Drosophila melanogaster: one gene and its partner. The protein of the gene in region 1 interacts with the protein of each later gene in a pairwise test. Each region holds a gene or a part of one and is shown in the gene's direction. Other genes may lie near its edges.

What was found. The genes of interacting proteins can lie anywhere in the genome.
Region 2: the proteins of CG5292 (region 1) and CG32459 interact in a two-hybrid assay, tested with the Drosophila melanogaster proteins (one large-scale study listed by BioGRID).

The regions. Positions count from the first base shown.
Region 1 is NT_033777.3:17,149,886-17,158,284, forward strand, and holds CG5292 (uncharacterized protein), read left to right. Parts: upstream 1-1,975; 5' UTR 1,976-2,088; coding exon 2,089-2,571; 3' UTR 2,572-2,609; intron 2,610-2,665; 3' UTR 2,666-3,634; downstream 3,635-8,399. Other genes in the region: Det (deterin), read left to right, coding at 1-35, 113-292, 354-485; Smug (Single-strand-selective monofunctional uracil-DNA glycosylase), read left to right, coding at 771-1,082, 1,144-1,674; Mur89F (mucin related 89F), read right to left, coding at 3,635-3,922, 3,999-8,399.
Region 2 is NT_037436.4:22,853,354-22,857,865, reverse strand, and holds CG32459 (uncharacterized protein), read left to right. Parts: upstream 1-1,806; 5' UTR 1,807-1,870; coding exon 1,871-2,074; intron 2,075-2,127; coding exon 2,128-2,319; intron 2,320-2,367; coding exon 2,368-3,039; 3' UTR 3,040-3,283; downstream 3,284-4,512.

The DNA.
Region 1 (8,399 bases):
CCTTTCCGGAGACCGCATCCTGCAGCATTTCGAAGGTAAGCAAGTCGCTGAGATTTTTTGAATACCCAAATGACCATCTATATTAACTGCATCTATATTCCATGCACCACAGATGGCCGAGGCGGGATTCTATTGGACGGGCACCAAGCGGGAAAACGACACTGCCACTTGTTTTGTGTGCGGAAAGACCCTGGATGGCTGGGAGCCCGAAGATGATCCGTGGAAGGAGCACGTGAAACATGCACCCCAATGCGAGTTCGCCAAGCTATCGTGTCCCGAAAGGAATTTAACCGTATGTTCCCCATGACTCCCGAATCCAGCTGGCATCCTAAACTTGTGTATAATTCTTGCAGGTATCACAATTTCTGGAAATTCTTGGAACCGTCGTTAAAGGCAGCATAGAGAAAACCTGCAAAGCCTTCAAATCGAGCTTCGTTCGGGAGAATGAGAAGCGTCTAGATGAGTTTACGCGTAATCAAAAATAGAGCGCTAATTTTTAAACCTTAAATATACATATATAAAACTCGCTATTTATCAAGATTTTTAATAAAACGCAATGTTAGTCCATCGAATGTATTTATAAATTAAACTGTAATAGGATTTTTTTTTAATTGCTTATTTTAAACCAATCTGTCTCGTGTTCAATTTAAAAACTTCAAGGTCGTATATGGTCATACTGAGTCTTCTATGTGGAACAGCTGATTAAAACCAAATCCAATGCAGCTTTTAAATCCTGCGATTTGTTGTCCTGTTCCGCTGAAGCAAACGTTATGCTGAAGCGCAAACTGAACCAGCAAAAATGCAATCTGGAGATTGGGGAGCCCACTAAGACATCCGCAAGGCAGGGCAGTACATCGGAATTCTTTGATAAGCCGCTGTGGCTTAAATTCTACGAAACCGAAGTCAAGTTAAATGAGGCGCTGGAAAAACTGAATCCTCCTGAGAGCACACCGTTCATCTACAACCCGATAGTATATGCATCCCAGCTGCACTGCGACTATTTACGTCGCTATATGGACGGTCCCAAGAAGCTGGTATTTGTTGGCATGAATCCAGGGCCCAATGGAATGGCCCAAACCGGAGTAAGAGCTTAATCTTGTAGATTATCCGAACATATTGATACATTGACGCGCTCTGCTTCAGATTCCCTTTGGCAATGTGCGCACAGTAAAGTTGTTAATGCAGCTGGCTGGTTCGGTGGACCAACCTCCAGTCGTGCATCCCAAACGTCCAGTCGCTGGCTTGGATTGTCGGATTGAGGAGCCCAGTGGTGTGCGTTTGTGGGAGCTGTTCCTCCGACTGGCTGGCAGCATGCAGACCTTCTCCCAGCAGTGTTTCGTCCACAATTTCTGTCCGCTAGCTTTCTTTGGCGCAGATGGCAGGAACATAACGCCCAGTGAAATCAGAGGAGCTTACAAAAATCAGCTAGGAGACCTGTGCCTGCACACCCTGGAGGAACAACTGAAGCTCCTCCAACCCGACGTGATTGTGGCCGTTGGGGAGTATGTTCACAGCGCACTGAAGCGTTCAGGATATGCCAAATCCAATTGCGTTTCGGTGCTCCGACTGCCGCATCCTAGTCCGCGTTCTACTAATAATACCAATTGGCCCGAGAAGGCTCAAGCATTTTTGGAGGAGCACAACCTAATCCGATTCATGCGGAATGAGGCTTGAAGCAAAAATGGTCAATTATTTAGATAGTATTTACATATCTGTATCTGTACAAATACATTCTATGTATATATAAGGATATTACTGCACATACTATAACTTTAAAGCTCTACATTTATAAGTGAGTGGCAAAAGAGAATACATTATTAATAATTTCAGTATTCTATTGAAACAGAATTCTCTATTTTATTTTGAGATATTATTTATTTGCGGGGAATACCCCAAATACAAAAGGTGACTTCGCTTTCCCACCGTGACCGCTCGTACAGTGACCGCTCACCGTGACCGCCAGCTGTTGCGCAGTGCTGGAAAGTGCCGCCTGAGTGAGAGCTACCCATTGTTTTTGTTGACCTGGTCATTTCATCTCATCTGTTTGCGGCTTTTCACCCAGTTCGCCCGAGTCTATTTCCATGCCAAATGGCCGCCTTCATGGAGGAAGCGTTAGTGGAGGCGAGGCGGGCACGTGACGCCGGCGAGGTGCCCGTGGGCTGTGTGTTCGTTCATGGGGACAAGGTGGTCGCACGTGGCGGGAACGAGGTGAACGTCCACCGGAACGCCACTCGCCACGCGGAATTCATTTGCATCGACGCTATCCTCGCCAGCTGCCGCGAGAGACGTCTGCCGGCCCGCCAGCTGTTCAGCGAGATCACCGTGGTGGTCACCGTGGAGCCCTGCATTATGTGCTCCGCCGCCCTGCACACTCTGGGCGTCAAGGAGATCATCTACGGCTGTGAGAACGATCGTTTCGGAGGAAAGACGGTCGTGGATGTGGCCGCCGTCGTTGGCCATAGGATCGAGATCACGGGCGGTGTGCGGGCGGATGAGGCGATGGCTCTGCTAAAGGATTTCTACAAGGGCGACAATCCGGCGGCACCGCCACAGGCCAAGAAGAAAAAGTAGGATCAATTGTCGAGGCCAAAAGCGTGCGTGAAGAAGGGGTAATTATAAACCTAAAGAATTTGCTAGAGAGAACGATACAGTATTGGTTTTTCAGGAGCATGAATGGAGTCAACCACTGATCCTCAAAGAAGTAGGAAGCTATTACAGTCATTGAAGTAATATTTAAAGTATGATAAAACTATAGAAAAATAGTAGAATGCAAAAGTCTACGTTTTCGTAAAATTCAATTACTTCCAAGCCTTCCAAAATCCGGAAACGAGCAGATTACCGAAAATCCGAAGGCAAACCTCTAGTTTACTCATTATTTCAGAGGGAACAAGCCAAGAAACGTATTTATCTTATAAAAGGAATAGTATTCCGTCGAAATCATCGTGAAATAGAGAACGAATTTCAAAAACGCAATCAGAAATGAAAGTAGTTAGAATACATAAAACTACAATCGCATAAAGAATGAAAACATTAGTGCTCCAGTCATCTGCATCCTGGAGGCATACATCCGAAAGTAAAATAAGTACCACTGCATCATTCTTCGACGATTTCTGTATATGATTCAATTTATTATAATCTTTAAGCATAGTCTAAGATATATTGTATATGGCGTTCAGAACGTATGTTTTAACTCTAAGCATAAATACAATTACTGCATGAAAGCTACAGCATTTACGTGTGTGTAGTGAAGGCTGTGCCTGTTTCCACTATAGGAAGACTACTCAAAACCTTTTGTTTCCTTTTCAAATGCGTAAAGTGCAGTCTCGCTAGCAGTCCGACACCAAGAATCTAGTTTACCCTCCAACAATCGAAGCAATATATATTATAGAAATATATGGTTGTATTATAGGCTAACTTGTTTTAAGTTCCCACTTGTAAGATAAATGTCGGAGGGCTGCACCCGTGCTTAACCTAATGTAATTTCCCTACGTCCTAAGCTAACTCTTCGGTTCGATCGTTTGCTGCGCCAGCTTATTGCCTCGATCGCAATCAGCTAGCTGCCAAGCTGGCCATCAAGTGCTGGCGCAGCAAACGAACAATGGCGGGCGACTAAGTGAATCTAGACTAAATCTAATTAAATGCGCATGCTGCGGCGTCTATGGCCAATGTTGAGCCACTCCAGCGGCACGTTTCCGCCCACATTGTAGGTGGTGGGCGTGCAGTTGGGCAGCTTGCGGGCGGGCTCGCATCGTCGGCTAACGTTCCAGTAGGCGAATCCCTGCGGACAGCGGTGGATCTGGCCTTCGATGCGACCCGTCAGCTCCGAGAATCCGCACTTGACGAACAGCTGGCCGCACTGGTCGTTGTTGAGCGCGAAGTGACCCTCATCCGGGCAGAGCGGATCTGTCGTGCTGATTTGAACCTGTTGATGGTAAAATAATTAAATTGTATTATTTCATTATGGAATGTAGACTAGACTTTACAATTATACGACTTACCACATTCTGAAGTTTCGTTTCCTCTTCAAACGCGTTGGTGGTCCTCTTCATGTCCTTGGAGCACTTGTCACCTGCCGGTGGCTTGCCACAGCTGCAGGACTTGTCTTGGTAGACGGTTCCGTTGGGGCATTGGAATACCACGATGTTAAGATCATTGTTATCGGCACTTTCGCTGCACTGGTAGAACATGCCGCACTTCTCCGGATGCCGGCGGAATCCAGTGGGGCAGACGTACACGTTCTGACCTGGTCCGGTTTCGGGACAAGGAGCAGAGGTATTGGTACTGGGAGCAGGACTCTCCGTAGTGGTAGGCGATTTTGACGTTGATGTTTCTTCCCCAGCTATGGTAGTGGTTTCAGGCTTGGGTGGTTTTGTAGTGGTTTCAGGAGTGGCTGTGGTGGTTGTGCCAGAAGTAGTAGTAGTGGTTTCGGAGGCTACTGTGGTGGTGGTTTCAGGAGACGATGTAGTGGTGGTTTCAGGAGCCCATGTTGTGGTGTTTTCAGGGGCCTTTGAGGTGGTTTCAGGTTTTCCAGAGCTGGTTGTACTCTCCGTCGTACCAGGTTCCGTAGTCGTTCCCGGCGTGGTCGTCTGTCCCGATGAGCAATTGCCAGACACCTGATCGGCGTAATTGCAGGTCTCGGTGGACGTGTCCCAAACAGTTCCTTTGCCGCACTTGAAGGCATAAACCTGATATTTGCCGTTTTTGGCTGCATCCACACAACGGTAATAGCGACTACAGTCCTCGGGATCTGGGAAGAATCCCTCCGATGAGCAGTTATAGTTAGGCTGTGGCTCCGGCTGAAGAGTGGTTACTGAACCTTCAGGGGTGCTGGATTCGGGACTTTCCGTGGTTGTTGTGGGTTCGGGTTTTTTTGAGGTTGTAGGCTCTTGAATTGCATCCGTGGTTGTGGAAGGTAATGTGGTCGTGGTAATAGGTTCGCCGGTGGTAGTTGGCTTATAGCCAGGAGTTGAGGTTGTAGTTTCTACCGGAATCGGCGTTGTTGTTGGATTATAGCCCGGAACAGACGTTGTTGTTGGATTGTAGCCCGGAATACTTGTGGTGGTGGGTTCTTCAGTGGTCGGCTTCTGAGGATATTCGGTTGTAGTGGGTTTCTGGGGCTTCTCTGGAGTAGGCTCCTCCGTGGTGGTCGGCTTCTGAGGATATTCGGTTGTAGTGGGTTTCTGGGGCTTCTCAGGGGTAGGCTCCTCCGTGGTGGTTGGCTTCTGAGGATACTCGGTTGTAGTCGGCTTCTGCGGCTTTTCTGGTTCCTCTGTGGTGGTTGGCTTCTCCGGATATTGAGTGGTCGGCTTTTGAGGTTTTTCTGTTGAAGGTTCTTCGGTGGGTTTTGTAATGGGTTTTGTCACTGTGGTGGGCTCATCCGTTGACTGCGGAGTGGTGCTTCCGGGATCCTTGGACTCTTCACTTGGTGTCGTAGTGATTGGTTCAGCGGGTAACTTCGAGCACCTTGGTATATTCTCCACGTAGTCACAGGTCTGAACTTCTTCATTCCATCCCGTGCCCTTGGGACACGTAAAGTTGTACTTTCTGTAGGAAGCTCCAGCATTGATGCATCGGTAGTATTTCCTGCAATCTTCGGGATCGGCCATGTATCCCTCTCCTGTGCATTCCGTTCCAGCTGGTAGGGGTTTCATAGTGGTTGTAGACGGTGGTTGCGTGGTGCTTTCCGGACTTGTGGTTACCGTTGATGTTTCAGTTTCCGAACTCAATGTTGTTGTAGTGGGTTGAGCTCCTGTGGTCGTGGTGGGTGGCAGTCCAGTTGTTGTAGTCGGAGGCAAGCTAGTAGTTGTAGTGGGAGGCAACCTAGTAGTTGTTGTAGGAGGTAAGTCTGTGGTTGTAGTTGGAGGTAACTCGGTTGTTGTAGTAGGCGGCAATCCTGTTGTTGAAGTGGGTGGTAAATCAGTGGTGGTGGGTGGAGGTGTGGTGGTCGAGGACGTAGACGTGGCCGTTGTTCCATTTGTTGCTGGCTCACAAGGCGGTTTTGGAGTGGTACTTTCAGTGCCCGTACTGCAATTGTTGAAATTGTGGTTGCAGGTCTGCAGATCCTGATCCCATACGGTACCAGCTCCACATTGGAATGGAATTGAGGTGAAGCCGCCTTTGTTGTTCCTTACACAGCGGTAGAATTTGGAGCAGTTGTTGGGATCAGCCATAAAGCCCTCCGATCGACATTTGCCATCCGTATTGGGTGCCTGAGTAACAGGAGATGTGGTTTGGGATGATGAAGCTGTTGTTGGAGAAGAAGTGGTTGGTCTGGCAGTCACTGGACGTGCGGTAGTGGGCGGACCTGTGGGTCTCGACGTTGAAGTTTGGTCAGAAGGTCTAGAAGTGCTTGCCGTTGTTGGCCTGGAGGTCGTCGGAGTAGAAGTTGTAGGTGGAGCAATACCACCGCATTCCTTTACTGCCCACGCATGATTACAGGCCTGCATCTGGGCATCCCAAACAGTGCCAGGACCGCAGCTAAAGGGTACCATATTGAAGCCACCTCTGTCATTATCGACGCAGCGATAGAATTTGGCACAATCCGATCGATCGCCAATAAATTGTCCATTAACTTTGCAGGTTTCAGATGGATTTGGTTTTGACGAAGTCGAGCTGCTGCTGGAGGAGGACGATGAGGAGGAACCTTGATTATTATTATTGCTTGATGATGATGAAGACGATGTTGACGAAGATGTCGATTGATTTCCAGAAGAGTTCGAGCCGGAAGAGGAGCCACTATTGGAGGATGAGCCTTGATTCGATGAGCCACCGCTGGAAGAAGCGCCACTGTTTGACGATGAACCTGTATTGGAGGAGGAGCCACTGTTGGAGGATGATGAACTGGAAGATGATCCACTGTTCGACGAGGAACCACTGTTGTTTGAGCTACTCGAGGAGTTGCTGGTGCTGTTAGAGGAGCTTCCGCCTTGGCTAACCACCTTTTTGCATTTGAGCGGCTTGGTCTGGATCTGATCAGGATGGTTACAGCTGTTGGCCTCAGGATCCCATAGCGTGTTTGGAGGGCAGGTGAATGATACTTTTGTAAAACCACCCTTACCATTATCCACGCATCGATAAAACTTCGAGCAGTTTTCGTTGTCAGCCAAGAAAGTTTCCTCACTTTCACATTTCTCTGCAGGTTTGAAAGGCTTTTGTGTAGTGGATGATGATGTCTGGTTAGATGATGACGATTGATTGGAGGAGGATTGATTCGAGGACGATTGGTTAGACGAAGAACTTTGATTTGAAGATGATCCCTGATTTGAGGAAGATCCTTGATTCGATGATGATCCCTGGTTAGAAGAGGAACCCTGATTAGAGGACGATCCTTGGTTCGAAGATGAACCCTGGTTAGAGGATGATCCTTGGCTCGAAGATGATCCCTGATTGGAAGATGATCCTTCGTTGGAGGAAGATCCCTGGCTAGATGATGATCCTTGGTTAGATGACGATCCCTGATTGGAAGATGATCCTTGGTTGGAAGAGGAACCCTGATTGGAAGATGATCCCTGGTTGGATGAAGAACCCTGGCTGGAAGATGATCCCTGGTTAGATGACGATCCTTGGTTGGAGGACGATCCCTGGTTAGAAGAGGAACCCTGATTTGAAGATGATCCCTGGTTAGAAGAGGAACCCTGATTTGAAGATGATCCCTGGTTAGAAGAAGAGCCCTGGTTGGAGGATGATCCCTGATTGGAAGAAGATCCCTGGCTTGAGGATGATCCCTGGTTGGAAGAGGAGCCTTGGCTGGATGATGATCCACTTCCATTGGCCATAGCCTTGCATTGCTCCTTTTGCACATCTGTTGGATGGTTACATCCCTTCGTATCTGGATCCCAAACCGTTCCAGGGGAGCAATCGAAAGGAACTTTATTGAAGCCACCGCTACCATTCTCTACGCATCGATAGAATCGGGCACAGTCCTTCTTATCAGCCAAATATGTTTCCGTATCTTGGCATTCACCATCGGGATTAGATGGCTTTGTTTGAGTGCTCGTGGAGTTATTATTTGAGCTTGAGGAGCTTTGGTTGCTAGAAGATGAAGTCGAGCCTTGATTGGAGGACTGATTGCTTGAGGATCCTTGATTACTGGATGAGCCTTGATTGCTGGAAGATCCTTGATTGCTGGATGAGCCTTGATTGCTGGACGAGCCTTGATTGCTAGACGATCCTTGATTGCTGGATGAGCTTTGATTGCTGGATGAGCCTTGATTGCTAGACGATCCTTGATTGCTGGATGAGCTCTGATTGCTGGATGAGCCTTGATTGCTAGAAGATCCTTGATTGCTAGACGATCCTTGATTGCTGGATGAGCTCTGATTGCTGGAAGATTGATTGCTTGATGAGCCTTGATTGCTAGATGAGCCTTGATTGCTAGACGATCCTTGATTGCTGGACGA
Region 2 (4,512 bases), on another chromosome or scaffold:
ACGTTTTGTATTCTGAAACCCAAGGCAGGATTTGGGCGGCATTCGACCCTTTTTTCCGGTTGGTGCCACATCATTTGCATTTGGCTGTAGTGGTTACTTAACAGCGCGTGGATCTGTTTGGTGTTGGTTGCAGTTGCTCTTTTCAGTCCATGTCGCCAAGTTCCATTTTATATGCAGCAGAGACAAATCCTCAAGTGGCGAAGGCGTCACTAGAATCTGCATGCTTAAGGGTTAAGTGATCCCAATCAGGAGAGTACTTCCTGCTACCTGTTATGTACATATCAACGAATCTTGTATACCCTTTTATATACCCTAAAATATACCGTATACATGTTACACGTTATAATTGATAAGAGCTATGCGTTCTATGCTTTAAATCCTTTTGATTAGGCAATGCGTTTCGCAATATGGAACACTATGAAAGAAGGTTTTTTTTAGTTTACTGAACTCAACTCGACATTAGTCTATAAGCTTCGACCAACCAAGATTCTTTGCCCCAGGCCAAGTGTTCGGGGTTTCCATTAAATTTAGTTGCATGAGAAATGTACGCTCGAACTTTCCACAAAATAATTTCTCCTTACTGCATCAGATTGGCAGGTTCATGACACCACGTGGGCAACACAGCAACATTTGGCGACAGCGAGACAACATCGGGTTTTGGCCAAGCTGGTGCAACGGCAACAGGTTGCCGCTGTGCCCGATATCAAATTTCAAGTTCGGTTGGCCAATTGGCGTTCGAAACGAAACCGAGTGAAGAAAAAGGACGCCAAATAAAAAGAAACGCCTTGTTGAATAGCCAAGCCACCTAGTCTGTGACTATCGTCCACATTCTGGCAATCAAACGAGCTAAGTCTATAAGAAGGCGGCGAAACTTAACGTTTGCACTCTGCAGAATACATATTTATTTACTCAAATATTTATGATTTGAGTTTAAATTTGTATTCCAACAGGAAGGAATGCCAACTCTTGTAAAGGGAACTTATCTCTAAAGCCGACGATTACGTGTATCCTTTCCCGAAAGAGCGGGAGATAGATTCTGGAACAGAGTTGGGTTGAGTTGGACTCTTCAATCCGTGTAATTGGATATATGATGGCTCGCAGAACTCGGGAGATTTGTAACTAATAACAATGTTTTATGCTTCCGAAAACAAACCTCGCTGTGTAAATACCCTTTTTGTAAGATTCGGCCAATAAATGGAAGTATTGGTCGAGAGATTTAGATGTGGTTTTGACCTGCTAGATAGTTTCCTCTCAGTCCACGAGTAACGTAACTAAAAGTCGAAGCGATCCAGAATAGTTTTTCTTCTTGTTCATTTGTAGAATATAGGTTACACCTCAGCAAAGACTGTTGCACCTCAGCAAAGACTGTTGCATGCCACATAAGAGACGTTTTCGTCAAAGCAAACCATCACATGGGAGGTTGCCGGCAAGCGGCACTTATCATTTATAAAGAAGAAACGGTAGGGCAGCGCAAACGCAGCGAACTTAATGGACTGTAATTACGACTGGCAGTTGAACAGGGAGCTGTGGTTGCTTGTCTGCTGAGCGCTGTAGAATATTAAGACCTAAATTTGCGTGTGCAAAATTTACGACGTGTTTACGATGCCTCAAATTATTGGTTGCACTAATGCGTTACAGAAACGCAAAGTTAATTTCCGCTCTCTGTTCTCCAGGACTGGTTATCACGATCGCAGCCGCGGTTGCACCCCTTTCTACTTCAATGAAATGAATTAAAGGAAGGAGACTCTGTGTCGACTGTCAGAGCAAAAGATTTCGAGTCAAGTAATTTAGCAGGAATTAACATATTTAAAATTTGCCGTGATAGGTTTCTACTTATCCAAGCATTGGTAATTTGGAAATTTTCGGTTAAATGGAACTGGAACGCGAACTGCCCACCGACGACGCCTCCGTGGAGTTGGATGTGTCCGAACCATGGGGTGATGTGAGATCGTCAGATAGCCAGCTTACCCTGAAGCAGAGTGAGAGCCAGGAGACGATAAGACCATTTGGGTATGAGTTAGCTGATCCATCCGAGCTTAGCTCCTACGACATTCACCTGGGTCTTCTAGTAGAGGTTAGTATGGCCACCACGGACGCTCGGTAGTTAACAAAAGTCTGACCCCGCAGAAGGGTTTAATTGACATTAACTCATTGGACAAGCCCTCGAACGAGGACCTTACAGACTATCCGGACTATCCGGGTCTTTTGTCCAGGTCGGCGGATCGTAGTGGAATTGCTGAGATAGTCAAAGAAATGCGAAACGAATTCATGGACAAGCTGACCTCTAAGGCTAAGAGCTTCAAAGAAATCCTGATTAAGGTAAGAGTTTCTAGCACCATTTCATATTCCTCAATGCTACGCTTTCAGAAAGGCTTAATGGAGCCAAAGGACGAAAATCCTGCTATGCAGAAGAATGACTCTGAGAATAAAGCAAAGACCAAAGACGATTCTCAGATTCCAGATCGTAAGAACAAAGCGGGAAAACCTCTAGGAGAAGGCGACGTCAGACGAAATGGTGAACTCGCCCTGCTCATCAATGAAATCAATCAGTTTACTTCTGGCATGGAGCAAGATCCGGACACTGCGGACTGGGCTCGGTTCCGGGCCAACCTGCTGAAAATACATAAGTACTATGTGAGCGTCAATGAGCCGGAAGGAAAAGGCCAAGAACGACCAAACAGCCAAATCGGCGCTGTCAGCGTTTTAGAACCATCAGACATCAGCGGACCGAAGGAAGACCTCAGCAGTCGGGCCCAGTACCTCCGTAAAAATCTCCGGGGTCTCGAATGCAAAATGCTTACCCTGGACCACTCCGTTGATATCTTTAGCGACAAGTTCCATCGTAGTCTGGTCACTAAAGAGCATGTGGAGCGGGAAATGGTGTCGATTGCACTGGTGCGCGATAAAATCGGACGACGCCTAAATCAGATGGAAGTGGAATTTCGCAGGGCCAAGGAGGATTTATTTGATCGGGGCAGGAACCCAAAAAACCAAAGCTATATCGCTTATTCAAAGAATAATCCTGATTGTGGAGCTTGATTAATATGGTTTTTATGAGAGTTAGCTATAGATTATTAGATAGGGCTAACAACTTTTCGGAGTAATAATGATAATTATTGTAATAATAATAATTATAGTAATAATAATAATTGTTATTTAAATACATAACTTTTCCGACCCAATAAGCATTTGGTATGTGAAATTAATTAGTTTTTAATAGGCCGATATCATACAAATTATAAGCATTCCTTGTATAAGAAAATATAAAATAGCAGCAAATTGTATATGCCGACAACTTTTTTTTAATATTAATAAATTCATTCAATTTAAGTTTTGACTTTTATTAAGTTTATTAAAAAACAAGCAACTTTTCAATTCAATTTTTTTAACTTGTTATTTAGCTAGAGGGAGTACAATTTCAACATTTGTTTGAATAATAAGACACTCTAAAACCGGCCATAATTTTATTAGTATTGTAAATTTCTATTGATTTGCCAAAAAAAAACTTTTTGCTACGCCTACTCTAACGCCCTAATGCCGCCGAATCGGTCACGCCCACACTTTGGAAATTTTTTAAACCTTTTTCTGATGAAATTTCGCGTTCGCATTCACACTAGTTGAGTAACAGGTATCTGATAGTCGGGGAACTCGACTATGGCTTTCTTTCTTGTTTTGTTTGTTGACCAGCTTTTGAAAATGAAAATTTAATTTTAAAATTAATTAATTATTAAAATTAGTAGATAGGCATATTTATATTAAATTTAGTATTAAAAGAGAGTTTTGTAAAAATATTGTTCGCAAAGTGACCGAACAACGCTCAATAAGTAATGTACATAACATTACCATTGCTATGAATACATTTTGTTTTGAGTACCAAAAAAAGGAATATTTGAAAATCCTTCTAATAAGCGTCTAATCAATTCGGACTATTTGTAATATGATTAGTAATGAGCTAGAAATGTCGCCATTCTGATTGCTAGACAATGGATTTGCTGCTTGCATATTATTTCTCTATCGCACTATTTGATTGGTATCTGATAGTCACAGCAGTATACTGCGAATGCACGCCCACTCTAAATCTGAAGAGGCATTCTTGAGATATTCTTGACAGTACAAATTTATTTAGTCATCTTAAGAAACCCAAAAAGTTGTGTGAAACTGCGGCAAGGTGGCGTTCGTATAAAATCCAGGGAAGAGCCGCGTTCCTACTCGCATGTCTCCATTTCCCTAACACTCCACTCCATTAAGCTGATTAACCAGTATATGATAGCCGCATAACTCAAATCTACTTTTTGTAGGTATTTCTAACAAATGTTCCTTAGAAGTCAATTTCTTTAATCGTTAGTTGCTACGGTAGGCTCTGTCTTTAAGTTCAGTTCAAAATTTTCGTCCGTTAAGCACTTCCAACACCTTACATTTTTTCGTGACATAAGGAGGGTACTGGGGAGTCCTTCCGAAATGTCCTGCTTATTTCGCTGCCCTTTATGCCCTTATAGTTCACAGTCGCCTTGC